Ovis aries: one gene and its partners. The protein of the gene in region 3 interacts with the protein of the main gene of each other region in a pairwise test. Links are inferred from orthologs where the notes say so. Each region holds a gene or a part of one and is shown on either strand. Other genes may lie near its edges. The genes, in order: ZNRF1, TRIM17, UBE2D3, AMFR, TRIM27, ZNRF2 and RFWD3.

Region 1 (4,019 bases), on a different chromosome or scaffold from region 3:
CATTTGGATCTTAGCTGTATACAAATTCCCCATTTGGAAACTTACAGATAATGTTTTGGGTATTAAAACATTGTTTTTTCCTTCATCATTTCTCATACAGAAATCTCAACTTCCTTCTGCAGGGCTTTTTGCTGCTTGCAAAGGCCGCCTATTCCTTCCAAGCTGGTCACACTGAGACAATCAATACCTATGACAGATCAACCTTTCTTTTTTCAGTTTTAATATTTCTTTGCACCCTGTTTTGGCTCCTTGATTTGGAAGTATCTGACATTTAGAACAAGGAAGTCAGTTAGACCAGGGACTGAGTGACAGACAGTCCTAGGCAGCACTCAGCACTTAAAAAAATAGCTGTTGAACAAATGAATGAACGAAAGAATGGAATGAGTGAGTGAATGTGAATATGTGAGGGAGACATTGCAAAACGCAGACTCGGTGAGCAAATATTGGGTACCTGCTGTGTCCCAGGCCCTGCGATGCATACCTGGATAAACGGTAAACAAAACAGGAGTCCTTCCTTGAACCAGGGAGTTTCTAAAATCACTAGTTCTAGCTGCATTATTAGATTTCCACGTCTGTTATTTTTTTTTAATCGTACACCTGATGATTTTCAGAGTCGCATTTTATCTTAAGGATCTACCCATTTGCTTAAGTCCAAAATAGGAAGTTCTGATCTATTGGCAGCAAAATCTGAAATCACAAGCAACACCCCCCCTACACACCCCCCAGCCCTGTTTAATCCCGGAAAAACTATCGAGCCCCAAAACGCTAAACTTCCTGGTGTTGGGGATTCCAGGACATTGAACCTCAGATAGAACGGACAGCAAGTCCACCAGAGGGTGCTGCGGGGGCAAATTCGTGCCGGGAAGGGAGCTTGACCAGTGACCCTCGGGGCTAGGTAGGCGTCTGGAGTCCTTTTTCTTCTTCCCCGGGTTTCTTTCCCACCCTTTGGACCACCGCCGCCCCTCCGCCCACGGGGGGATTCCCCCTGAATGACCAGCTGCTCTTGGGGGCTTAAAGGTGCCGCGTCGCCTCTGGTCCTGAGCTCCAGCGGCTCGGACCACGCCTGCCCCGGGGCCATCGGACAGGGCAGGGCCGGGCCGGGCGGGGCGGGCGAGGCGTCCACGCCCCGAGTCCCCGCCCGGCGCCGCGCGGGCCGCGAAGGGGTTAACGCGGGGGGCGGGGGCGGGGGCGCCGCCGCGCCTGCGCGCTGCCGCCCTCCATTGTCTCCGCGGCGGCGAGGAGCGCCGGCGAGCGCAGCCCGGGAGCGAGCGGCGCGGCCGGCGGGGCCCGCGCGGCAGGGCCGAGAGCGCGACGCGAGCGCGGCTTCGCGAGCTCCGCGGGCCGCCGGCGCCGCAGCCCGCCCGGGCCTCGGGGGTCCGGGCCGCCGTCCCGGCCGCGGCGTCTTGAGGCGGCACGCGCCGGCGCCCCCGCCCTCCTCCTCCGGCGGCCGCTGCCGGGCGGGCGGCCTCCTCCCCGCGGCGCCCGGCCCTCGGGAGCCCGGGGGCGGCCTGGGGCGCGCCGAGCCCGCGCGCCTCGCCTCTCCGGACCTTGAGGGGAATCATGCGCCGGGCTCGGGACGCCTGCAGCCCGTAGTCTGGGTCCTGCTCGGGTCCTCTCTTTTTCCTTTTTCCCTTCCCCTCCGGTCTCCTTTTTGCTCCCCCGTATGCCCGCCCAGCCCTGCCCCCGCCGCTGAGGACAGGGGGAGGGTCTCGGCCTGCAGGCTCCCGCCCCGCCGGGGCCCGGGCGAGCATGGGCGGCAAGCAGAGCACAGCGGCCCGCTCGCGCGGCCCCTTCCCGGGGGTCTCCACCGACGACAGCGCCGTGCCCCCGCCGGGAGGGGCGCCCCACTTCGGGCACTACCGGGCGGGCGGCGGGGCCATGGGGCTCCGCAGCCGCTCGGTCAGCTCCGTGGCGGGCATGGGCATGGACCCCAGCACGGCCAGCGGGGTGCCCTTTGGCCTCTACACCCCCGCCTCCCGAGGGACCGGCGACGCCGAGAGGGCGCCCGGCAGCGGAGGGTCGACGTCCGACTCCACCTATGCCCACGGCAATGGTTACCAGGAGACGGGTGGCGGTCACCATAGAGACGGGATGCTGTACCTGGGCTCCCGAGCCTCGCTAGCGGATGCTCTACCTCTGCACATCGCACCCCGGTGGTTCAGCTCGCACAGTGGTGAGTCCGCGGGCGCCAGAGGCCTCGGAGGGTGGGGTGCCAGGGAGGGCGCGCCGAGGTGCCCCGCACCTTCGCACGCGTGCACGCAAAAGGTCTGGAGGTAAAAGTGCGGTACCTGGATCTGGCTGTCGTCCTCTTGGTTCCCGAAGCCAAGGGATGAATGGAATACCCACTCTCTAGAAATGAGGCTTTCTGAGAGGCCGAGGAGAGCCAGGTGTGTGAGGACTTCAGGCGTTGGTTCACTTGTGGATGCCTGTTGAAGTCTCATTCATTGGCCTCCCCGTCCTCAGAGAAGTCTGGCTGGTCGCAAGTCGGCCTCCGTGCTTCCTTTCTGTTACTGCTGCATTGTGCTGGGTGCACCGGTAACACAGAAGGGATCCAATTGGACCGAGCATCTCAGACAAAGGATGTGAAGAGAAGATTGGGGCCAAGTGGGGTTTGGATGAGGGCACTTGCTCTTGCTGGAGAAGTGGGTGCCCAGTTTTGCGGCTGTGCTGGAAATCTGAATTGTTTAAAATGGAGCGGCCGACAGGCTGCTGCCATAGACAGGTGTGGCCTGCTGGTCGGAGGGCGCAGCCAGGGAGCCTCCCTGGGAGGCTTTGCGTGACTGGGGCCCTGGTTACCCGTGCTGCATGCAGTAGCAGCCTTGGCTCAGTGTCTCTTGGATCCCTCCATCTTTCTTCTTCTCCTCCATGCTGAAGTGCTTGGGTATTCTGCATCTTCTTGTGACCAAGACATGGCAGTTCTCTTGCACTGCTGTTGGCACATGTCGGGGGGAAAGGAGGAGTCAAAGGACCTGGATGAATTCATTTTGTGAACTTCTGGTGACAGGTCAGCAAAAAGCTGGAGGAGGATTTCCTAGACTCTGGCAGGGCAGAAAAGACACTGGCAGGAGCTTCTGGAGGAAAACAGGTCTGTCTGCTTAGCTAACCTGAGAAACCAGGTTAGGCCTCCAGAAAATTGGTCAGAAGGGGTGTGGGGCTGCTATTTACTAATTGGCGAGTTGGAGTAAAGAAGTTAACATATTCAGACTCCTTTGGGCGACTTCAGAAAATTTAGATACTGTGTAGAAGAAAGATTGCTCTATGGAGGATTTATCTGTTGGATCACTGCTTGCTCTTGTGAAATAGGGGAGACACTTTGGATCTCTATTTCTGGAAATAATGTTAATTTTTTTTTCAGTTCTTTAAACCGATTGTGAAATGAGTTTTCGGGAGGAATAGTGACTAATTTAGGGTAATCCTTGAAAGTGGCTTTTAATTGCTAGGATGGAATTTTAATCCCTGAACAGACTTCTAGATATAATTTGGACACTGCCCTGAAGAGATGTAGGGTGTGATTACCTCTGGCACTTTCAGACATCATTTGATCAGCTTTAGACATCTTAAACTTAGTAATCTTCCTTATAAAATTTGGTCCAGAAAGGGTCAGGTGTATTTTTGAGGTGATTGTAGTTAAGTTTTTAAGAAAGCTGTCATTAGTGTCTGAGTTTAAACAGAAAAGCACTATAAGACAGTTCTCAAAAGTCACAGGTAGAATTTTGTGTGTTGCAGGAATGTAATCTTAGAGTAGGAGTTCCCTTTTTCCACTCAAATTTCTTTTCTTTTACCAGAAAGTTCTTTTTCCTTATTCCGCCACCAGGTTCCATGCCAGAGTTATGAGCTTGCATTTGGATTCTAAAATTCAGACTCTTCAGCTGTAAAACGTTAATTTTTTTTTTTTTCCTTTTTCCAGCTAGAGGTTAGGAAGACCTGCTGAACCAGGGACTACAGGGAAAGTTGAAGCATATTAATCCCTTGAGGGATTGACATTGAAGTGTGTGTTGGGGGGGGCTGCTGTTAATATT
Region 2 (4,135 bases), on a different chromosome or scaffold from region 3:
CCGCTCGCCAACGAAGCCTCCCCGTCCCCCACGTGATTACGGCCCCGCCCCTCGATCTCGGGCTCCTGCTGACGCCACAATGCCCTAAGCCCAGCGCCCTCGGATCCCCGCCCAGGTGGTTTCCATCGCCTCAAAGCAGGCTTTCCTGGGCCGCGTTTGGAGGCGTAGTTCGGGGTGCCTGGCGAGGTGCAGCGTGCACTGCTTTACCCCGTAAGCATCACCCCCTTCAGGGAGCCGGCGGGTGGTCATCTTGTGGGTGCTGAGCCTCAGGTTGGGTCCCCGTGCACCCTCTGCCCTAGTGGAGTGGCTGTCCCAGCTTTGAAGGTGGTTGTAAACTGGAACGAAGAGCCCGCTATTTTAGCCCTGCATTTACCGAGTAACATTCCGGGGTCAAGGAAGGCCCGTCTGCCATCACTGGCCCAGAGCCCTTGGATGGCTTCCCCCAGAACCTGAGCCAGAGCCTAGCGCCCAGACTGCCCCACTCTCACCCAGCTTCTGCTGGGTGGGCAGCAGTCGGGACGAAGGGCAGCTGAGAGCAGAGGGAGAGACTCACGCCAAGGGCTCTTCCCAGAGACAAAGTGGACCCATGTCAGCGATTCAGGAATCTGCAGAATCCAGCCATCATAGTTTCAGACTGCATAGAAGGGAACCTGGACAGTGCTTGCGTTAATAATTCAGAAATGATGTTTATTTATTTATTTTTGCTTAAATTTATACTGTTTATTTTTAAATTATTATTCTACAATATTGTAAAGAAGTGATGTTTAAATCCACTCTAACTCAGCCCTAACCACCACCCTGTAAAGTGCATCCAGGAGGACTGGGTCTCCACTGCATCAAGTCATGGGTATTCCAACCCAGAGTGTGTGTGCATGTGAGTTTGTGTTCAGATGTTGGTGCACGGGTCTAGGTGCCTCTGCGTGTGCCTCTCTTTGTGTGTGCCAGTCCCAAACATGCATGCACATGTACATGTGTGTTCCGGTGCCTGTGTGTGAGCACGTGTGCGTGTAATGGCCCTCTTTATCTTTTCTGCACTTCACCTTGTCAAGGAAAATCAGAGCTGGATGGTACAGGGGTGAAAACAGGTTTTATTTGGGACTATTGAAATAGGAGGAAACATTAACATAGAAACTGGGGTTTCATTGAAACTGGGGTTCTATATAGAACTAGACCTTCTATATAGAATTGTGAAGTTCAGTTCTGAATACAACATGGGCCAGTGGGGATTTTTAAGGAGTAGGGTAGGGTCAGTTACAAGAAGTTGCTAGGAGGAAACATCTTAGTAGCAGTGAGTGGTGGGGAGGGGGGGTTCTGGTTAAACCCACCTAGCAGGATTTCTGGAGAAGGCAATGGCACCCCACTCCAGTACTCTTGCCTGGAAAATCCCATGGACAGAGGAGCCTGGTGGGCTGCAGTCCATGGGATCGCTACTAGTCGGACATGACTGAGCGACTTCACTTTCACTTTTCACTTTCATGCATTGGAGAAGGAAATGGCAACCCACTCCAGTGTTCTTGCCTGGAGAATCCCAGGGATGGGGGAGCCTGGTGGGCTGCTGTCTATGGGGTCGCACAGAGTCGGACACGACTGAAGCGACTTAGCAGCAGCAGCAGCAGCAGCAGCAGGATTTCTGCTAAACTTGAACAGTGTAGAGACAAACATGTAAGTCCAAGGCTTGGTTGGAAAATTCTGGAGCCTGAGCAAGCGTTGGTTAAAGAGAGAAACTCTGTCAACCCTGCTCCCTAATGAGAGAGATGTTTCCTCTTAAACTCCCTTTTTCCTTTGTTCTGCGGAGTTCTGTTCAAGAGAAACCTATGTGCTTGTTAAAACAGTAAGCAAGGCTATTCAAGATTGTTGCAGTGCCATCTCTGGAATGCAGCTGAGACGGCTGCAGATCTGTAGCCAAGGAGCGGAGTGGTGGTGGTCAGTGATGGAAAATCACCCAGAGGTGCCCTGAGGAGAGGGGGCTTATTGCTAAACAGGCCTAAGAGGATTCTTGCTCAAGGAGGGTCAAGGACATCAATTCATTATAGGTGGGGGATGAGGAACTAGATCACATATCACAGCACATTTCACAGTACTGTGAAACTGGGTGGGGCCAGCCAAAGACAAGCCTACAGCTCAGGGGAAGCTGGCTGGGGTTTGCTGAAGGAGAGGGTCTTTGTCAGCTTCGAGAGAGACATCTATGCCCCTTATGGAAGGTGAGTCAGGGTACCCTAAAACCCCAGGTTCAGACTCCCATCTTCAAAAGGAGGCCAAGAGAGTGCTATTGAAGAGCTCAGGGCTCCAGGCAGAGCGTGTGGCAGGACACTCTATTCCTTCCCCAGGCACCATGGATGCTGTGGAACTTGCCAGAAAGCTGCAGGAGGAGGCCACGTGCTCCATCTGTCTTGACTACTTCACAGACCCCGTGATGACCACCTGCGGTCACAATTTCTGCCGAGAGTGCATCCAGCTGACCTGGGAGAAGGCCAAAGGCCAGAAAAAGAGGAGAAAGCGGAAGGGCTCCTTTCCCTGCCCTGAGTGCCGCGAGCTGTCCCCCCAGAGGAACCTGCGGCCCAACCGTCTGCTGACCAAAGTGGCCGAGATGGTGCGGCAGCACCCCAGCCCGCAGAGCAGGGACCTGTGCCCGGTGCACCGAGAGCTGCTCAAACTCTTCTGTGAGGACGACCAGAGGCCCATCTGCCTCATCTGCAGGGAGTCCCAGGAGCACCGGCCCCACAGGGTGGTCCCTATCGAGGAGGCCGTGCAAGCGTACAAGGTGGGTTCTGGCTGGGGGCCAGGACAGGGGACAAGGGTGCCCAACTATGCGTATGTGTCAAGGAGGGTATTAGCAGGGAACGGCTGCTGTAACAAATGCCCCATATGCAGGACCACACAGTGGAAGTGTTCCCTTGCTGCTGAGTCGCTTCAGTTGTATCCAACTCTGTGCGACCCCATAGACGGCAGCCCACCAGGCTCCTCCGTCCCTGGGATTCTCCAGGCAAGAACACTGGAATGGGCTGCCATTTCCTTCTCCCTTACTCCAAAACAAAGCAGGCTGGGGGCCATGCCATCTTGGGTCACCTCTATGATTATGCAGGAGTCCAGACTGACCAAGTCCCCACCCAGCCCCAGCCATACTCCCTGGTCCTTGTGCAGCCATCTGGGTGGGCAAACCAGGCAACCCCGCCCCCCCCCGACAGGCAGGGGGAGGGGAGCCTTTTCCCTCCATGCACCTGAGGCTCTGTGGCTGGGGGCCCATGAATTAGATTGAGCAAAGGCAAATTGAAGAGAAAGGCAAACTGTTTACTAACATATGCCTGCCTGCTATACCAGTCACTTGGGAGAAACTGCAGCAACAGTTTAAAAAAAAAGTCAATTAGAACTTGGGCTTATATAAGCATCTTAACAAAGAACAGTACATTTGGAGAAAAGCAACAGGACAAAGGTGAAAGCTGCAGGCTCCCAAGGGTGGCAGACTGTGGGAAAGTGTCTCAGTAACAGAATTCCACAGACTGGGTGGCTTATAACAGCAATTGCTCACAGTTGGAGGCTGACGTTGGAGATGAGCACAGTCAGGTGAGAGTCCCTTTCTGGTGCGCACACGGCCAGCGTCTCGCCGTCCTCTCTCGGGTCTCTTTTATAATGGCACTAATCCCATTCATGTGGGTCCTACTGCCTCGACCTCATCGCCTCCCAAAGGCCCCACCTCTGCCATCACACCAGGAGTTAGGGCTTCCGTATATGAATTTGGATGTCAGAGGGACACACACATTCAGGTGCTAGCAGAAATATATATAGACAGAGAGAGAGAGAGAGAGAAAGTAAAGAAAGATAGGGGGTTTTTGTGTAGGTTCATCTTGACACCAACTTGCCATCTTCTTCGTGGGCACAAACTATCCCCAGTGAGATGCTTCTGGTCAGACAATGGGAGCTCCTGGAAGGCACCTTTCTGCATCCAGCTCAAAATAATCCTTCTGCCAAAGGGACAGATTTGGGGGTTGGGGGTGGCATACTTCCATCCCTTGTACCCCATTAGGATGGTTCAGGGTGGATGCAGCTTCAGAGGGTACTGTTTGGATGTGTGGCATGCAGGGGGCCCACTGACCCCCACATTCCATGGTTTGGGTGCACCACAGTTGAAGCTGGAGGA
Region 3 (4,278 bases):
CTCAGTTACCACTCTTTCTATTCAATTACATGCTTTCTGTCAAACCTTTTAACACCTAAAAATGTTAAATTTTCATAATCCGTTTGTCAACAAAGCAAATGTCTGTGATTATTATTTAAAGAATCTCTAGATTTAGACTAGATTTAGATCTAGTTTACCACATCTTGCCTATCCACCACCAGACACCGCCTTTTGTTTTTTTTTAAAATCTCTGAGAGGGGATAGCTCTCAAAGCACCCTATTAAGGTAAAGTATTCTCTAATTAAAAAAAAAAAAAAAGAATTCCTTTAACATGCAACTAAAATCCATGTTCAAATAACTATCACTAACTTGGCCCTAGTTGTCTTCTGGTCTACACAAAATGCATCTTTTCTTCTACCTGTCAGCCTTCCAAATACTGCATTTTAAGTCAGCTACCACAGATGTCTAAACTGCTCCAGAAGCAGCCCTATTTACCTCAAAATTATCTTAACTCATGCTTACATTCCCTGGTAATCAGTCAGAACATATGAGTTCAATGATTGCTTTATCAATAACCGCCTTCCCCACCCTCCTCCCCCCACCATCATCCTAATCAGTCCCTGAGTCTGGCTTACCCATATCTCACTTGGATTGTAAGGCTCAGAACCCAACAAAATCTTCCAAGTGTTGGCAGCATTCTGGAAATGTTCATCTTTTAGATATGAAATCCCGCGCTGTGGGTTCTATTTTGTAAAGGAGGGAACTTAAGTGCAAATGTTACATGTCATCAGTAAATTTCACTTTCTAATTTTTGGTCTGTCATACCAGCAAAAGTATCTTTCCTCCAACTCGAGTAAACTAAATTGCTTCCAGGCCCGTGATACGGTGATGACCTCAAATGACCCCGTAACAGGTTGACACTCCCCCTTGGAACTGGAATTGTCTAATTTTGTTAGTAAATAAAACCACCAAATACATGTGTATGTGTGTTTCTCTCTCACACAGACACACCCACACTATGTGGGTCAAACTCAGCCAAGAGCTGGGACAGCCTGATACACAGAGACTTTGAGCCTTGGATAACGACTTTTCCTGCTTTAAAATAAACCAGCAACGTTGCAGGGAGCGACGGAGATGAAAAAAATGGGCCTGTTCCCAACTCAGCACCTTCTCTGCAAAAACCTGGTCTCTCAACACGGAGAGACACTGCAGACAGACATGAAGATAAGCTCAGGGGGCCGCCAAGTCCCAAGATGCGGCCTCACATACACTCCGAGGATGCAGGGCCTGCGCGTGCCCACCTACTCCGCGACTGCAGTGAGAATGGTAGTGGGGTGCTGTGCTCAGTCCTGTCCGACTCCTTGCGAAACCACAGACTGTAGCTCACCAGCCTCCTCTGTCCACGGGATTCTCCAGGCAAGAATACTGGAGTGGGATCCCAGGTCACGCGCCACCCGCCAGGCTCCGCCCCGCCCCTCGGCCGAGGTCTTTCAGATGCCCGCCCCCACCCTCCGCCTGGGGAAGCTCGCAAGGATGGGGACCGGCTGAAGGCTCGGATTACCTGTGAGTCGGGCGAACCCGGTAATACTCTCGGGCACTGGAAGCCGCTTCAGATACGCGGGGAGCTGCACCTTTACGATGCGGGCCACGCTCTCCAGCACCATCCTGGCCGGCGGCGTCCGCTCCTCGCCCGACTCCCGCGGCTCTCCGGCGGAGCTGCTGCGCCTGCGCCCAGAGCGGAAGCGGCCGACCGGCGCTCTCTGCCGGGACCAGGCCGGGGCGGGGCTGGGGGCCCCAGCGCGGAGAGGTGAGCTGCCCGGCGCCGATTGGCAGCGGGCCGGTGACGTGCGCGCCCCGCGGAGGCCGAAGGGGCGCGGGCGGCCGTGGGGCAGCGAGGCCCGCCTGTGCGTCTTGAGGTGGAAGAGGGCCTTCACGGTGGGCCTTTCACGTCCGGAGGCCCAGGAAACGATACTGTGTCCGAGGAGGTAAAGCACGTGAGAGTACTGTGTAACCGGAAGGTGCCTTTCAAAAGTGAGTTTCTCCGGGCGTCGCTTTTTACCTCGGGCCACGACCCCAGAATTGCAAATTCTCCTTAGAGCACCCTTTCCGCCGAACCCCGCAGCGCCTAATTTCGCTCTCTCCCCTCTACAAATCTGGCTTCTTTTTTTTTTTTTTTAAGAAAGAAGATACCTAAACTAGGCACTGCTCACAACCTTGCTCCTAGGCTGTTTAGCCAAACTGCTCCGAGACCTTGACTCAGACCAGACCCGTTAGAGTCCTTAGTTAGATATCTGTTTTCAGTAGATAATTCTTCTTCTGTAGATCAAATTTTTTTTTTCCGGTTAACTAAAACTGGGAAAGTGGTGAAAGAATATGAAGATTTAGGGTTTCCCTTATTTCATGTTGTAGGGCTTCTGCTGCAAACTAAAGTATCCTTGGAGAGCTTTAATTTTTATTTAGGTTTATTAACACCGAAAAAATAGAAAGGAGATAGCTTCAGTCCCTTGAAGCACCTTCCTTGACATGACTTTGTTTCATGTTTTTAAAGTATCCGAAGTAATGCACTTGCTGATTGCACGTTGTGTATTTGTATCTTAATAACCCAGCCTTATTTCCTTTCTGAACCCTGCTTGACCGACAGCATAGAACAATGAACTGCACAAGGGCCAGTATTTCACCTTGTATGACTTAAAATGTAACAACCAATTGTTAATATGTAAGTTTTAAAAAATTTTTTTCTTGGTATTTCATCCTAAAGTGAAAAGGAATGTTTTTAAAGCAACTTTTCATTCTCTGGACTGTTTAATATTTGTTATCGTCCTTCACTAAAAAAATAATCCTCAGTAAGAGAATTAATTGAAATCTAGATAAATTGATTTTCTGTCATTTTACCCTGGTCAAAATTGTGCAAGTAAAATTATAATGGAAATTTCTACCAAGATGTTTAGATACAGATTCATGTTCATGAGCTAGGGTAGAAATGATGATTGAAAGGTTGGTGTTTACATTCAGATTCCTTTCAGTTTACTCCTGGGAGCTTACTTTTGATTTAGTGGAAGAAGGATCCTGGAGCTTGTTTATCCTGAAAATGATGAGCTCAACTGCCTTGTCCTTAAGACTGTTGTTTTGGGAGGTGGTTGAGGCAGGGTGGTTTGCGGGAGTGGGGCCATTAGGGGAAGAAAGCGTAGAGAGGCCACTAAAGATTCGTTTCTTATTTAGAGGCTTTGTTGTCTTGACAGGAGCAAAGCAAGCTGTGTTAAGTGAGATTCCTAAGGCCTCTAAGAAGTTTTTCTTTAAAGGATTAAGAGATACATACCTCAGTTAAGAGATATATAATAAAATGCTCAAGTGTGTAACCAACACCCAGATCCACATATACAGAATACACCAAACACACCATGGAGTCTCTCTATGTCCCTGCTAATCACATCCCCTTACCACCACCAGCACCATTCTTCCTTTACATGTTCTTACATCATATAAAAGAAATTATCCTCTATGTAGTTAAGTTATCCTCTATGTAGTTCTTTTGTGACTGACTTCTTTGAGCAGTGGATAGCTGTTTTGCTATCCAAGTAGAAGAAATGCAGTGAATAGAAGTCTATATGGATGAAACATTTTTCTTTTTTTTGTCTTAAAATTTCAAGATGTGTAGACATACATTAGCTATTTCTGATCCACTAAGTAATTATATATATGTATATATACAATGTATAAAAGGAGATAGTTCCTAACCCCACCAATTAAAAAAAAACCCTTATTGTGCATTTTAGGGAACATTTTCTTACATTCCCTTTGCTTTAAATTTTAAGTCGTGTTTTGCTGTATTTTTTAATTTCCACTTCATTTCTACCACCCTACTTTCTTGGCAGAACGTAAAGTAGAGGAGCTGAAGGTAATTGTTACAAACAGAAGTGGCAGGCTTGTCTGACCACCTTCTGATGTTGTTGTTAAGTTTCTAAGTCACCTCCAACTCTGTGACCCCGTGGACTACAACACACCAGGCTTTCCTGTCCTTCACTATCTCCTGGAGTTTGCTCAAACTCATCTCCATTGAGCCGGTGATGCCATCCAACCATCTCATCCTCTGTTGCCCCATTCGCCTCCTGCTCTTAAATCTTCCCCAGTATCATCTTCTGATGTAATACCCAACAAAATGTGGGGTTTCAAAAATTAATTAATTTGGCCATGTCACATGGTGTGAGGGACCCCAACCAGAGATGAGACCCACACCCCCTACAGAAGGTTGGAGTCTTAACCACTGGACCACCAGGGACGTCCCAAAATCTGGTTTTATTATAAGTGTTTATTTCTTAC
Region 4 (3,500 bases), on a different chromosome or scaffold from region 3:
TTATAGATTTGATATTTTGAACTAAATCATGTTTTTATAGTGTTTTTCTTCTGTGCAAAATATTTTCTATTTGTAAATGAAAGTTTTCTAATCTCTAAGAATGTTTATGTTTAATTCTAGATTAAGAGGAAACTTTTCTTAGCATCAGTTTCTATAATGCAAAATACCATGAAGGTCTTATTTTGTTATTGATTTCATGCATTCGGTTTTCTTCTGTGTCAATGAACAGGGTGCAGAAAGCATTATGCAGCAGGCAGGGACTCGTAGATGTCTAGGATAGCAGGGTCTAAACCTCACCTTGGGTAAATGGTCACCAGGCATTCAGACAGCCTCTTCAGGTTATCAGTTACGATGATTCAGTGCTGTACAAAATAGAAGTGATTGTCAAACTCAGTGACCTCAAGACTGTGGAAGGCATCCCCAGGAGCTGGACAGGTGTAGTTGGTTGTCACCTATAAACAGGAAAAGGCTCAATAAAAGTTGAGTTTCTAGGTCATGAGAATATGCAATGCAAATTTGAAGCACATGGACTAAAATGGTTGGTAACTTGCTTTTTTTTTCTTTCAGTTTTAATGAGATATACAGTCTGTATAAGTTTAAGGTGTACAACATAATGATGATAATAATTTGTGAAATGATTATTACCACAATAAGTATCCTCTTAATACTCCCACAATGTTTTTTTCCCTGTGATGAAACTTTTTAGGATGTCCTCTGTTCACAACTTTGAAGTATACGACACAGCACTATTGCCTGTAGTCATGTTATACATTACCTCCCCCGTACTTATTTACCTTATAACTGGTAGCTTGTGACTGCCATCCTCCAAGTCCCCCTCACCCCCACAGCCATTGAACAACCTGCTTTTTAATTGAACTGAGAAATGTTTGTCTTTTATCATTTTGCAAAAGTTAATTTGGTCTGAGCAATCCTAAACTTTACTAAAAGGAAAAAAAAAATCTCTCTTTTTTAAAATAGTCTCTTCTTGTGACAGTGAGGACTGCTCATGTGATTTTACGGTGAGTAGAAATTTGGGAGGGAGGTGATGGAAGTCTACTCGTACAGTTGATTTTAAAATATAACGTGTAAAAAAATTGTAAAAACATGAGTCTATCCTATTTAAAACAAATTCAATTGCAACAGTAAATCATTAACACGATTCTTCTCTGTTCGTGGCAGATATGTAATTCACCTCTGGGACCTCAACCATGAAGGGACATGGGAAGGAAAGGGGACGTATGTCTATTACACAGATTTCGTCATGGAGCTCACTCTCTTGTCCTTGGACCTCATGCACCATATTCACATGTTGGTAAGTTTCCCAGAGGGAACTCCTACAGAGAGAGCTGAGGTTTTTAGAATCAGGAACTCTGTTTAGTACAGAGTTTAATAAGTGAAACATTTGTGGATGACCCACGTAAAAGACTATGAAAATGATGCAACTGTGCCCCTCCCCTTTTTTTTCTTCCTGGCCAATGGGTGTAAAACAGTGTGGAACAGCTTTGGTGCCCAGCTCAAGAGGTGCTTGCTGTCCTCCCAGGAGACTTAACTCACTCTGCTGACAAAGTCAGTAGATAATTCTTCTAGCTTGGTATTAAGAGAATTCCTCTCCTCATAGATTCTGTGGCTTCTGATCTTTAGCAGTTACTTTGTAGGTGGTAAAGGGGACTCCCACAGTGTTAGGTGCTTCATGGATGCATAAATGTTCCATCTTTGTAATTAAAAGCAAAGTCTTTATTCTTAATTTCTCCTACTTCATTGTTTGCATTTTACTTTGGTGTGCAAGAAATCACCATGTTGAAAACCTGCTTCCCTGGTTAGCACTTCAGTGATCTCAGAATGGTGAGAATCAACATATTTGATGGGCAATTTGTTTATATAGTAAGCCAGTCAAAGTAGCATTTAAAAATTTGGGAGTTGAACATAGCACATTTCTAAGTGTACTTTTAAAAAATGACTTTGAAAATGTACTTTAAAAAAAAAGCCCCCCCCCCACCCCACCAACAAATGTCCAAAGTTAAGTGTTGACTTTTTTTGGTGGTTACTGCTTCTTTATTTATTCACAGCCATATGTTCATCATGTATTGGGCATATAGCTTAGGTTTTTGTAGCTGTTGTATTCTGTGCACCTTCCTATGCTAGCAACATTTCTTCTAAATCATTTTAATACCTTTAAGATAAAAATTCCGCAACAGAAGTATGATGATTTAATTGAAATACATTATACAGCGCTGTTATGACTATAGTTATCATGTCGTATGTTACATCCCCACTAAGTTTTTATCTTATAACTGAAAGTTAGTACCTTTTGACCACTTTCCTTCCTTCAATTCTCTACCCCTAGCTGTTGAACACCCTGATCCCATAATGAGTATTTAGATTTTATTCAGTTGTTTGCCTCTTCACATCTTTATATAATTTTTTGGTCATATATTATTTTTTTTGAAGTACTTTTTTCCTCTTTTCACTTAAAATATTATTTACCCATTTTATTAATCTTCAAAATGTTATATATACAATATAATAGGATATAATTATATTTTATGATACATGTAATGAATATATAATATTACATTATGTGAGTTCACAGTATAACTGTTCCCCTGCTGGGCGTTTGGTCTGTTTCCTGATTTTCTGTTTTATAATTGCATGAATGTACATCATTTGGCATAAAGCTTTAAACTTTCTGGTGAGTTCCTCAGAACAGATGGCTGTGGATGGAATGAAGAGCATGGGCAGTGTTGAGAGTCGTGAGAGAAGTATGCGCGTTTGCTTCGCCAGTGCCTGCTCCTGCTCACCTTTACCCACGACTCAGACCTTCCGTCGCTGGCCTCGCCCTTAGCGCTAGCCAGTTCGCGTTGACCCTTATTGTGCATTCTACTCTCTCTCCCTCTCATCAAGTTGTTTGGCAACATCTGGTTGTCCATGGCCAGCTTGGTCATCTTCATGCAGCTGCGTTACCTGTTTCATGAAGTGCAGCGTCGCATCCGCCGGCACAAGAACTACTTGCGAGTGGTCGGGAACATGGAAGCCAGGTGAGTCAGCAGGTTGACACGTTTGAGATCTTTAATAATGACGGAGCCTGGGTTATATCCCTGCTTTTTTCAGCTGTTAATGGAATGGTGAAGAGTGCAGGCTCGGGAGTCAGGCTGCCTAGATGTGAAGCCTGCTTAGTTACCGTGTGATTCTGGACAATTTACTTAGCTCCCTGTGCCTGGGTTGCTTAAGACTAGGGATAATAATACCTTCTTCCTGGAATGTTGGGTGGATTCAGTGGGATAATGAACATAATATACTTAGAACAGTACTGGATAAATATTAGGTTCTTTTATTACATCGTTATTTTTATCATCATTATTTTTAAATGGAAGTCTCCTTGGGCTTCTGCCCTTTTTATTCCTTACACATGCATGCTTACATCCACACACACAAACATACATTCTGTCTCTCACACTCTTAACCTCACTGAGGTGTTCACTTGGCATCCTGAGACTAAACCC
Region 5 (2,592 bases), on a different chromosome or scaffold from region 3:
GCACTATTTAGTGTCTTTATCTGATATAATGTGAATATCCATATGTTTCACAGCAGATCTGTTAGTATTGGTTGTAGAGTGCTACACCACACCCTCTCTGTCTAAATACTGTAAACTTCTGGACCCTGTGGCTTTCGGATTAAGGGGTTGGACATACACATAAGAAAACCTTAAATTCAGCTTATAACGGATATTGTGGTTTAAAATGTGGAAAAGCAAGGTAAAAATTTCAGTACTTCCAGTATATCCTAGCTAAATGAGATAACTACCTAATCCAAACAGTAATTTTGGGAATGTCAGCTTCAGGGTGGACTTAAATGTATAAAATGAATGTGTCTTTGCTGGAGAGCTCTTACTCTCTTCTCAGGGATAGGAGAAAAGCTGAGTGTTCAGAGTGGGCTGTCCTGGTGCTTGGCTAATCCTCCTCTGCCCCTGTATTTCTCTGCAGTGGATGTGACTCTGGACCCAGACACAGCCTACCCCAGCCTGATCCTCTCTGATAACCTGCGGCAAGTGCGGTACAGTTACCTCCAGCAGGACCTGCCCGACAACCCTGAGCGGTTCAATCTGTTTCCCTGTGTCTTGGGCTCTCCATGCTTCATCGCTGGGAGACACTATTGGGAGGTAGAGGTGGGAGATAAAGCCAAGTGGACCATAGGTGTCTGTGAAGACTCAGTGTGCAGAAAAGGTGGGGTAACCTCAGCCCCCCAGAATGGATTCTGGGCAGTGTCCTTGTGGTATGGGAAAGAATACTGGGCTCTCACCTCCCCAATGACTGCCCTCCCCCTGCGGACCCCTCTCCAACGGGTGGGGATTTTCTTGGACTATGATGCTGGCGAGGTCTCCTTCTACAACGTGACAGAGAGGTGTCACACCTTTACTTTCTCTCATGCTACCTTCTGTGGGCCTGTCCGGCCCTACTTCAGTCTGAGTTACTCTGGAGGGAAGAGCGCAGCTCCTCTGATCATCTGTCCCATGAGTGGCATCGATGGGTTTTCTGGCCATGTTGGGAATCATGGTCATTCCATGGAGACCTCCCCTTGAGGAGGTGAACTCAGGCCAGAAGGGCTGCTGGCTGTACTCCCACCCCAGGCATGAGGCATCTTGTTGCCTTGCCACTTCCTGCCCATCACAGCTGGATGTTCTTACCACTTTCCGTGCCCTGCAGTGCAAGACAGGATGTCTGTGTTCTCTGCCATCCCCCCCTTCCCATGAAAATTGTGAGATGTAATAAGTTATCGAGATTGCCCAGAAATAAAAACCAGATGTCCACCTCCAGTGTTCCACACTTCTTGGTCTTATACATTACTGGAGGGGATAAAGAATATGGATAATCTTGGGTTAGGAGAGCCATTCAAGATTCTTACACCTGGGCTCAGCCCCATATAGTGATCATGGGTATTTGCTGTCGTTTCTGAACCAGGGCTTCTTTCTGAGAACCCACAGCTGGACTAAAGTCCTGTCAGCATGGATCCCTTTGTCCCAGTTTTTCCTTTGGGATTAGTACCTCTACCCCTGATTCCCAATCTGCTGTAGTTTTATTAACTCCATTAAAGAGGCCTGTATGTGTTTTGATTAGTTACAGTTATTTTACAGTAATGGTGGGAAATAGCCCCACCTCTGTTAGGAGATAATATTCTAATCAATGTGCTCTTTGCCTCTATCTTTTTGAGGGCTTTGTCAGCTCCCTTCATTCTAATGAAAAGTGTATCCTAGTCCTGGATGCACATCATCCGGGATTATTTTCTGCTCAACACCACTCATTGTTCCTACCTCCCATCCCACTTCCATTTGTGGACTGATGGTCAGTCATACCCTATCCCTGGAAGGATTCTGGGGCAATATTCCAGGGGATTCATTGACTTGTCTCCATTTCTCCCTTCTATTTCAAGGGAAGAGGGAGTTTACCTTTCTGATGTGTGTACCATCAAGGGGCTATTCCATCCCTATGGCCATTGGATCACGAGGCATTCTGAGGTCAGAAAGCCAAGGCAGATCACTTAGCACAAGCCCCCATGATGGTTCTTAGTCTTCTCTTTCTTTGGGTACATGCTCCTCTGTTTAAAAATAAAGTGAGTATGGATGTTGTTTACACTGTTGTTATTTTCTGGGTCTTGGTAGGACTGGGTTCATAGATATTGGAGGAAATCAACACTATTAACCTCTATGGTTTGAGAATCTCATTCTGGTCAGTATTTTACTTTCAACTGGATGATAAAAACAGTACCATGTCACTGCTTTCTACTGGTGCTTGGAAACTAGTGTTGGACTTCCATAGCCTACAGCTTTGTATTGGCTAATCCTGTCACGTCTCTGGAAAAGTGTTCTCTCAAGTGCTTATAACTGACAGTGGGGTATGCAGCAATGCTTGGTATAGATCAGAGCGCCCAGAGCTTGCTTCCCACCTCAGAAGCAGCAGCCTAAGCCCTTAGGGTCATGGAGGGCACCACATTCTAAGGAGGAAAAATATGCTGAGAGGACAGCTCTTTTCCAGGAGGTTTTCGATCTTTTCTGCTTTTGGACATGACCTCAAGATGACAAGATTTTGTGGTCTTAGTCTTGTACCCAACATTGTGGTTCATGGCTGAAGAT
Region 6 (3,500 bases), on a different chromosome or scaffold from region 3:
ACTGTAATGCCTCCGTGAAATCTAAATGAAATTGAGAGACACTGTAAGTAAAGGTAAACATTGTTTAGTGAGTTACAAATAGTATTTCAAATATAGGTGCTGAATTTTATGTGCTTCTGACAAAAATATGCCAGACACCACTCTGTATAAGTCAGCATTCACATAATTCTTTTAGTTCTGTTGTCCTAAATGCATTTTCTTTTTTCTCAGAGGACGTACTGAGTAAAGATGCTGGGGAATGTGCAATATGCCTTGAAGAACTGCAGCAGGGAGATACTATAGCACGGCTGCCTTGTCTGTGCATATATCATAAAGGGTGAGTTTGCTTTTATGTCAGCCAAATTGATATTAGACTAAAAGACTTTGCTCAAAGTTTCAAATTTTGTAGTTACGGATGAAAGGTTTCTTCTTGATTGAAACTCCCTTCCCCCATTTCTTTAAAAAAAATTAAAAAGGCTTTTTTTCCCTTGTTGGTAATAAAAATCTGTTTACATCTCATAGTCTACCATTTGTTAAGCATTTACTATGACCCAGGTATTGTCTGTAGCTTCTTGAATAGGTTATCTTATGTAAGCATTACAACAGTCTCATTGTACCGTTGAGGAAATAAGCTGGGGGGCATGGTCACATGGCTAGGAATAAATGAAAGAACTGAGATTCCAGCCATGTCTGTTTGACTCCAAAGCCCATCTGGTTTCTGATAAAGTGTTTTGGTTTTAGGGCAACAAGGAAAAATTTGATTTAAGATGATTTAAAGTAAACTACAAAAAGAACAGAAAACTATAACTTTAAAAGCAATAGTGGAAATAACTTGGAATTTTATTTAAAAGCAGGGTGTGGACGTTGGAGAAAATAGTAAATAGTACCAAAACAAAGAGGCAAAAATAGATCCAATATCAGGAATTATAATAAATCCAAATGGTCAAACTAACCAGGTGAAAACAAATCAAAAGGTTGGAATATGCTGTTGATGAGCAGCACACTTAAACATAAGGGTACAGAACAATATGGACTTAAAGGGATAGAAGACTATATCCAGGCAAATGTTAAATAAATAAAACTGACAAAGCTAAATTAATATTGGAGAAAATTAACTTTATTGAAAAAAGTATTACTAGTGTTATATGATGATCCATGAATGAAGTTGCTTAGTCATGTCCTGACTCTTTGCGACCCCATGGACTGTAGCCCACCAGGCTCCTCCATCCACGGGATTTTCTACGCAAGAATACTAGAGTGGGTTGCCATTTCCTTCTCCAGGGGATCTTTCCGACCTGGGGATCTAACCCGGGTCTCGCGCATTGTGGGCAGACGCTTTACTGTCTGAGCCACCAGGGAATCCCTCCATTATCATTATCAATCCCTCCAAATCATTATATGATGATAATAGTATATAAAAACTACATTCTTTCCTGCACCAGAGAACACAGTCTCAAAGTAAAATATTTGTAGAATGGTTAGAAAAAATTGAGAAATCATCATGGTAATTGAAAATTTGAATATACTTCTCATTGAGTCAAACAGGCGTACACATAACTAGTTAAGACCTAGAAAAATTGAACAGTACGGTGAACAGATTTGATCTCATGAGTATTAATGGATGTATCTACACTCAGCAATTTAGAGAATACATTTTCTTGCCAGGAACATACAAAATATTGTAGAAATTGGTCATGTACTAGGCCACAAGGCAGATCTTAGTAAACCACAAAAAGCTGGTACCATACAGAAAGCTGTTTTGTTCTCTGAGCGCAGTTAGATGTCAATGACAAAAGATAAATGATCTTCACAAATACTCTTAAGTAACTTATAGATCAAAGAAGAAATCATAATGGAACTTAGAAAATATTCTGAATAATAATGAAAACCTTCTCAGCATTTTTCTAGGGTGATCCTTGCAAGATTTGTGTTACTGTGGAAAGAAAGACTGGAAATCAATAGTCCAAGATTTTACCTGAATTAGAAAATTGATAGCAGGATAAACACAAAGGAAACAAAGATCAGAGAAGAAAAAATTGAATGAAAAAATTATACACTAGAATAGAGACTAACAAAGTCAAAAGTTGATTCTTTGAAAAGAATAATAAAATAGGTTAGCCACTGGCAAGATTGTGTCTAGAAGGAAAAAATAAACAGTGTTAGAATGAAAAGGAACACATAACTTTAGATATAACAGGAATTAAAATAGTTGGAAAATTCTGTGAAAAATTTTATACTTTTCACCTAAAAATTTTAAAACAGGTAATTTGCTTAGAAATATAATATTGTCCAAAATGACTCAAAAAGAAATAGGAAATCCAAATAAAGTAGTAACTATCCTAAGTAGTTATTAAGACTAGCCCCCGAAAGTAACAACTGGTTTTTAAAAAGCCGAAACAAAACACTAAAGACAGGCCTACCATGACAGTTTGATGGCAAGTTGACCACGTAGCCGAACATGGGGTGGGCTTCCGTGATGGCTCAGTGGCAGAGAGTCTGACTATGATGCAGGAGACGCCAGGTCTGTCCCTAGGCTGGGAAGGTCCCCTGCAGAGGGAAATGGCAGCCCGCTCTAGTATTTCTTGCCTGGGAAACCCCATGGACAGAGGAGTCTGGCGAGCTACAATCCATAGGGTCACGAAGAGTCGAACATGACTTAGCAACTAAACAGCTACAACAAAACACTGTGTTAATAATCATAAATTCCTCCAAAAAGTAGATAATGATGGACGGTTCTCCCACTTATTTTATGAGTATAGTATATACTTGATACCCGTGTCAGACAAGAACAGTATAAGAAAGAAAACTAAAAGACACTCTCATTTATGAACATAAATGCAAAATCTGAAAACATAGTAGCAAACCAAGTTCATCAGTATATATGTAAAATAAAGCCTCTTGACCAAATTGGATTTATGTTATTAATAGTGATGTAAAAACACTATATGATTAGAAAATTTGTGTATATAATTTACCTCATTAGCAAAGGAAGAAGACTATATTAATAAACTCTATTTGCTATTAATTTAAAATCAAAAGCAAATAATAACAGATAATATGTTAAAATTAATAAGAATTTAGCTAGGTTGTCTGATAGGAGCTCAACATATGAAATAAGTTGCATTCATATCCCAGTAAAAAAATACATATATATATAACTTTTAGGATAATAACATTAATAGCAACAGAAACTGCAACAGGAATAAGATTTATTAAGAATAAATCTTACAAAAAGATATTCAAGATTTTAAAACATTCCTCGAAGATATTATAGAAAGTCTAAAATAAATACGTGGCATACGATTTTGTGGATGGGAAAACTCAATATCATAAAGATGTCACTGCACCCAAATCTATGTAGTTAATACTATTTCAATCAAATCTCAACTAGTTTTTTCAGATAGCTTGACAAGTTGTTTCTTACATATATATGGACAAAAGAGCAAAGGGTCAGGAATAGTCAAGACAATCATAAAGAAGTAAGTGATGTTGGGTGGTGGTGATGGGGTACTTATCCTATA
Region 7 (3,500 bases), on a different chromosome or scaffold from region 3:
TATGCTGACCACTCCAGTCTGGCCTCTACTCATCACTTTGGGGAAACAGCTCTTTTCTAGATTATCTGTCACCTCTACATTGCTAAATCTAGTGGTCATTCTTCCCCTCAGTAGCACTTGACACACTTGACTGTCCCCTCCTTGCATCATTCTTCCAAGACACCACACTCTCCCAGGTTTTCTCCTACCTCATGGTCTTGGTTTCTGGGTTCTCTTCCTATAACTGTTATCCTTTTAATGTCTCTGGTATTGGTCCTTGGCCTGCTTTTCTTCTATCTCAACTCCTTCTTAGGTAGTTAATCTATCCCAAGATTTTAAGTGGCATGACTATACTGAGGATTCTTAAAGCTGTCTACTGTTCCATCTCCACTGCTACTAGTCTTGCCTCTGTGACCACTAGTTTATACTCTCATAATAGCCTATGAAGTGGTCACTTTGCCTGCACTTTTCCTCCCTTACAGTCCATTCCTAACGCAGAAGAAACTCCTTACCAAGGTCTTCTAGTGAAAGTGTTGTGTATCATCAACTTTACTCCTCATATTAAACCTCATACTGTCTGCTCTTTCTTACTATTCTCGTTATGCTGGGCTTCCTAGTTTCTCTGACGCACTAAACCCATACTTAGCAGACACCTTGTATTAATTTTCTTCTGAAACTCTTTCTTGGCTCTTCATACGGCCAACTTCTTTTAATCCTTCTTGTCTTGGTTTAATTTTCACTTATAAGAGGCCACCTCTCACTGTTGTGTCTTGCCCCCCACTCTCAAAACCAAATGGCACAATATATAATTTTTCACAATGATTTGTTTATTCTCTCATTTGCTAGAATGTAAATTGTATTATGCTGGGTCTTGTCCACTTATCTGTTTGCCTCTGTGGAGTGTCTGACTATATGACAGATGCTTAAATATTTCTTGAAAAATAGACTAACGTAGTGGAGTAGAGACAGGAAACAAATAATGAAAGGAACATAACCAGTGCTTAATAAATATTTGTTGAATGGACTAACAAATGGACTTAGAGATAGAAAACAAAAGTAATGAAAAAGTTGAAGTAAATAAAGGTTGCTCAGCCTTTTTGGAGGAAATAGGTTAATTTCTATTTTGAGTTATTAATTGAGTTATTTTGTGGAAATGTTCTTTCTGTGTTTATTTTTTGCACTTTAGTGCCATGAAAGATGAATATTGCCTACTAAAATTAAATATAGCATTGTATGCATTTGTTGTAGTAAATGTCCATATATAGGTCATGACAGAACTGCAAGAGGTCTGGGGGATTATTTTCAATAGTTCAGTTCTCTTATTTTATAGATTCTTTTAAAGACTAGTGCTGTGATCACATGACTTTATGTTTTCGAAGGGCAAACAGGATAACTGGTTAAAAGTCCTTATAAGAAAAGAGCTAAAATCATCTTTTAAGTTTCTCAGTTTTATCAAGAATGATCTTAAACAAGTATTAAATGATAGACATAATTAGATAAAACATGCCACGTAGCTGATACATTTTACTAATACTTTTTACAAATATTGCTTCCTCAGTGATGGCTCATGAAGCAATGGAATATGATCTTCAGGTGCAATTAGATCATGGTGCTGCAGATCAGCCTGCTCCTGCGGAAGTGGTCAGCAGCCAAGGGGGACCACCCCTGCTCCAGCCTCCTCATACTGAGGAGGTCAGCAGCCAGGAGGGACCACCCGTGTTGCATCCTATACTTGCTGAGGTGGTCAGCATCGAAGGAGGACCACCCCTGCTCCAACCCATTCCTGAGGAGGTGATCAACAGCCCAGAGAGAGTGCCGCTGCTTCCGCCTATTCCGCAGATATCTGTTGATCTGACAGAGGAAGTGGAGCTCTCAGGAACAGAGACTGTGGGGAACCTCAATCCAGGAGTTTTAGAGGAGTTTAGGCTGGAATCTGATGCTAACCGCACTCCCCAAGTGCCTTCATTGGATTCAATGAACAGCTTCATCAGTGGGCTGCAGAGACTTCATGGCATGCTGGAATTCCTGCGACCAACTTCAGACCGCAGTGTGGGGCCCGTGAGAGCGAGGAGGAATAGGAGGAGTTCTGCTTCACGGAGGGCAAGAGCAGGAGGGTCCCAGAGGACAAACAGTGCCAGGTAAATAGAAATGTAAATAGTGGGATTAGTACCTGATTGGGAATTATGAACTTTAGGCCCTGATGATAGCCCCAGTGCTGCCAGGAATTGGCATTGTGACTTGGCAAGTCGGGTAACCTTTCGGAACCCCCAGTACCTCATAAGTCAGATGAAAATGAAATTACTTGGTTTATTTACTTCACAAAGTAGTGGAGAGGATAAAGGTATACAGATAGGTTTTGAAAACTTGTTGGTAGTTTGTTAGCAGTGGTGTCTGCAGAGGCTGGCTTTTCTTTCGATCATTTGTCTCTTGTACATCAAATATATACATATATATATTTAACTTGCAAGTCCACTCCACTTGCCCAAGATTCATTGTTCATTGGCACTCCACTTAGTGGTACAGTAGATTTTGTAAGATGGGCAGGCTGGATTTAGAGAACCCTTGTGAAAAGTAGAGTGTGAATTAATATAGAACTTATCTGACTAAGTGGGAAACATTCTAGCCCTCCTCTCCTGAAACTGTGTTGTAGAGTTAAAAATAATTTTCTTCTATAGGTTTTGGTTTGAACTTGCCTCTTGAAGGGGTTAGCTGTCAAGTCTTGACAGTTATTATGAAGAATAACAGTTGTCTATATTTTAATCTGTTTTTTAACTTCTGCTTTATTTGAAATACTTAGTTCCACAGCTGGCTTTCTAAATGTCTTCATAATGTTGAAAGAAATTGAATTCAACCTTTTCATTTTAAATGTGAAAGAAACTTGGACCCTGAGAGAATGATCTATTCAGGGTCTCGGAGTTGACAGTACAGAGGAAGTTAGAGCTGATGTTGGAACCTGGATCTGACTGTTGTCTACAAAAGCAAATAAAGGAAGCTTCAATCAGATCCATTTCTCTAACACTGTGAAAATAATGAGAGGCTTCCATGGTGGTCCCGCGCCTAAGACTCTGCACTCCCAATGCAGGGGGCCTGGGATCAATCCCTGGTTAGAGAACTTAATCCCACATGTGGCAACTGATAGTTTGCATGCCACAACTAAGACCCGGCACAGCCAAACAAATAATAAAAAATAAATATTGAAAAGAATGAGATGGCACTAAATAGTGGTAGCTGGGCCATCTGTTATCTGTGTTTTACAAATGAGGAAGATGATGGGGTGATTTATGATTTGACTGAGATAACCCTGGACTTGGAATTGTGCCTTCTGATTTTGGATTTCAGCATCCTTTTCAATGGATCCTGCTGATTAGTGTATCAGGGCTGCTGTTACTGTGGCTGTAGTCTCTAATGCCTGGTCAGTGCTGGATGTGATCCATCAAGGGTGAGAAGAGCCTAGTTCTGTGTTGACAGGAGTTGCAAGTGCATGCTGCTCTGTTATTTTAAGGTGCCATTTACAATGATTT

Evidence for each region.
Region 1: the proteins of UBE2D3 (region 3) and ZNRF1 interact in binary tests that used the Homo sapiens proteins (3 or more experiments, as listed by UniProt). The link is inferred for Ovis aries from reciprocal best matches to the Homo sapiens genes UBE2D3 and ZNRF1.
Region 2: the proteins of UBE2D3 (region 3) and TRIM17 interact in a two-hybrid assay, tested with the Homo sapiens proteins (2 studies listed by BioGRID and IntAct). The link is inferred for Ovis aries from reciprocal best matches to the Homo sapiens genes UBE2D3 and TRIM17.
Region 4: the proteins of UBE2D3 (region 3) and AMFR interact in a two-hybrid assay, tested with the Homo sapiens proteins (2 studies listed by BioGRID and IntAct). The link is inferred for Ovis aries from reciprocal best matches to the Homo sapiens genes UBE2D3 and AMFR.
Region 5: the proteins of UBE2D3 (region 3) and TRIM27 interact in a two-hybrid assay, tested with the Homo sapiens proteins (2 studies listed by BioGRID and IntAct). The link is inferred for Ovis aries from reciprocal best matches to the Homo sapiens genes UBE2D3 and TRIM27.
Region 6: the proteins of UBE2D3 (region 3) and ZNRF2 interact in a two-hybrid assay, tested with the Homo sapiens proteins (2 studies listed by BioGRID). The link is inferred for Ovis aries from reciprocal best matches to the Homo sapiens genes UBE2D3 and ZNRF2.
Region 7: the proteins of UBE2D3 (region 3) and RFWD3 interact in a two-hybrid assay, tested with the Homo sapiens proteins (2 studies listed by BioGRID and IntAct). The link is inferred for Ovis aries from reciprocal best matches to the Homo sapiens genes UBE2D3 and RFWD3.

Annotation. Positions count from the first base shown.
Region 1 is NC_056067.1:1,851,305-1,855,323, forward strand, and holds the start of ZNRF1 (E3 ubiquitin-protein ligase ZNRF1), read left to right. Parts: upstream 1-1,219; 5' UTR 1,220-1,749; coding exon 1,750-2,173; intron 2,174-4,019. UniProt on the Homo sapiens protein: E3 ubiquitin-protein ligase that plays a role in different processes including cell differentiation, receptor recycling or regulation of inflammation. Mediates the ubiquitination of AKT1 and GLUL, thereby playing a role in neuron cells differentiation.
Region 2 is NC_056058.1:2,393,056-2,397,190, forward strand, and holds the start of TRIM17 (E3 ubiquitin-protein ligase TRIM17), read left to right. Parts: upstream 1-1,335; 5' UTR 1,336-2,185; coding exon 2,186-2,761; intron 2,762-3,267; exon of another isoform or gene 3,268-4,121; coding exon 4,122-4,135. UniProt on the Homo sapiens protein: E3 ubiquitin ligase that plays important roles in the regulation of neuronal apoptosis, selective autophagy or cell proliferation.
Region 3 is NC_056059.1:22,312,629-22,316,906, forward strand, and holds the start of UBE2D3 (ubiquitin-conjugating enzyme E2 D3), read left to right. Parts: upstream 1-1,478; 5' UTR 1,479-1,522; coding exon of another isoform or gene 1,523-1,625; 5' UTR 1,626-1,768; intron 1,769-1,849; exon of another isoform or gene 1,850-1,992; intron 1,993-4,278. Other genes in the region: CISD2 (CDGSH iron-sulfur domain-containing protein 2), read right to left, coding at 1,523-1,625. UniProt on the Homo sapiens protein: Accepts ubiquitin from the E1 complex and catalyzes its covalent attachment to other proteins. In vitro catalyzes 'Lys-11'-, as well as 'Lys-48'-linked polyubiquitination.
Region 4 is NC_056067.1:23,727,652-23,731,151, forward strand, and holds part of AMFR (E3 ubiquitin-protein ligase AMFR), read left to right. Parts: intron 1-978; coding exon 979-1,019; intron 1,020-1,179; coding exon 1,180-1,312; intron 1,313-2,901; coding exon 2,902-3,035; intron 3,036-3,500. UniProt on the Homo sapiens protein: E3 ubiquitin-protein ligase that mediates the polyubiquitination of lysine and cysteine residues on target proteins, such as CD3D, CYP3A4, CFTR, INSIG1, SOAT2/ACAT2 and APOB for proteasomal degradation.
Region 5 is NC_056073.1:29,131,340-29,133,931, forward strand, and holds the end of TRIM27 (zinc finger protein RFP), read left to right. Parts: intron 1-448; coding exon 449-1,044; 3' UTR 1,045-2,092; downstream 2,093-2,592. UniProt on the Homo sapiens protein: E3 ubiquitin-protein ligase that mediates ubiquitination of various substrates and thereby plays a role in diffent processes including proliferation, innate immunity, apoptosis, immune response or autophagy.
Region 6 is NC_056057.1:67,506,637-67,510,136, reverse strand, and holds part of ZNRF2 (E3 ubiquitin-protein ligase ZNRF2), read left to right. Parts: intron 1-210; coding exon 211-316; intron 317-3,500. UniProt on the Homo sapiens protein: E3 ubiquitin-protein ligase that plays a role in the establishment and maintenance of neuronal transmission and plasticity. Ubiquitinates the Na(+)/K(+) ATPase alpha-1 subunit/ATP1A1 and thereby influences its endocytosis and/or degradation.
Region 7 is NC_056067.1:1,596,559-1,600,058, reverse strand, and holds part of RFWD3 (E3 ubiquitin-protein ligase RFWD3), read left to right. Parts: intron 1-1,537; 5' UTR 1,538-1,539; coding exon 1,540-2,117; intron 2,118-3,500. UniProt on the Homo sapiens protein: E3 ubiquitin-protein ligase required for the repair of DNA interstrand cross-links (ICL) in response to DNA damage. Plays a key role in RPA-mediated DNA damage signaling and repair.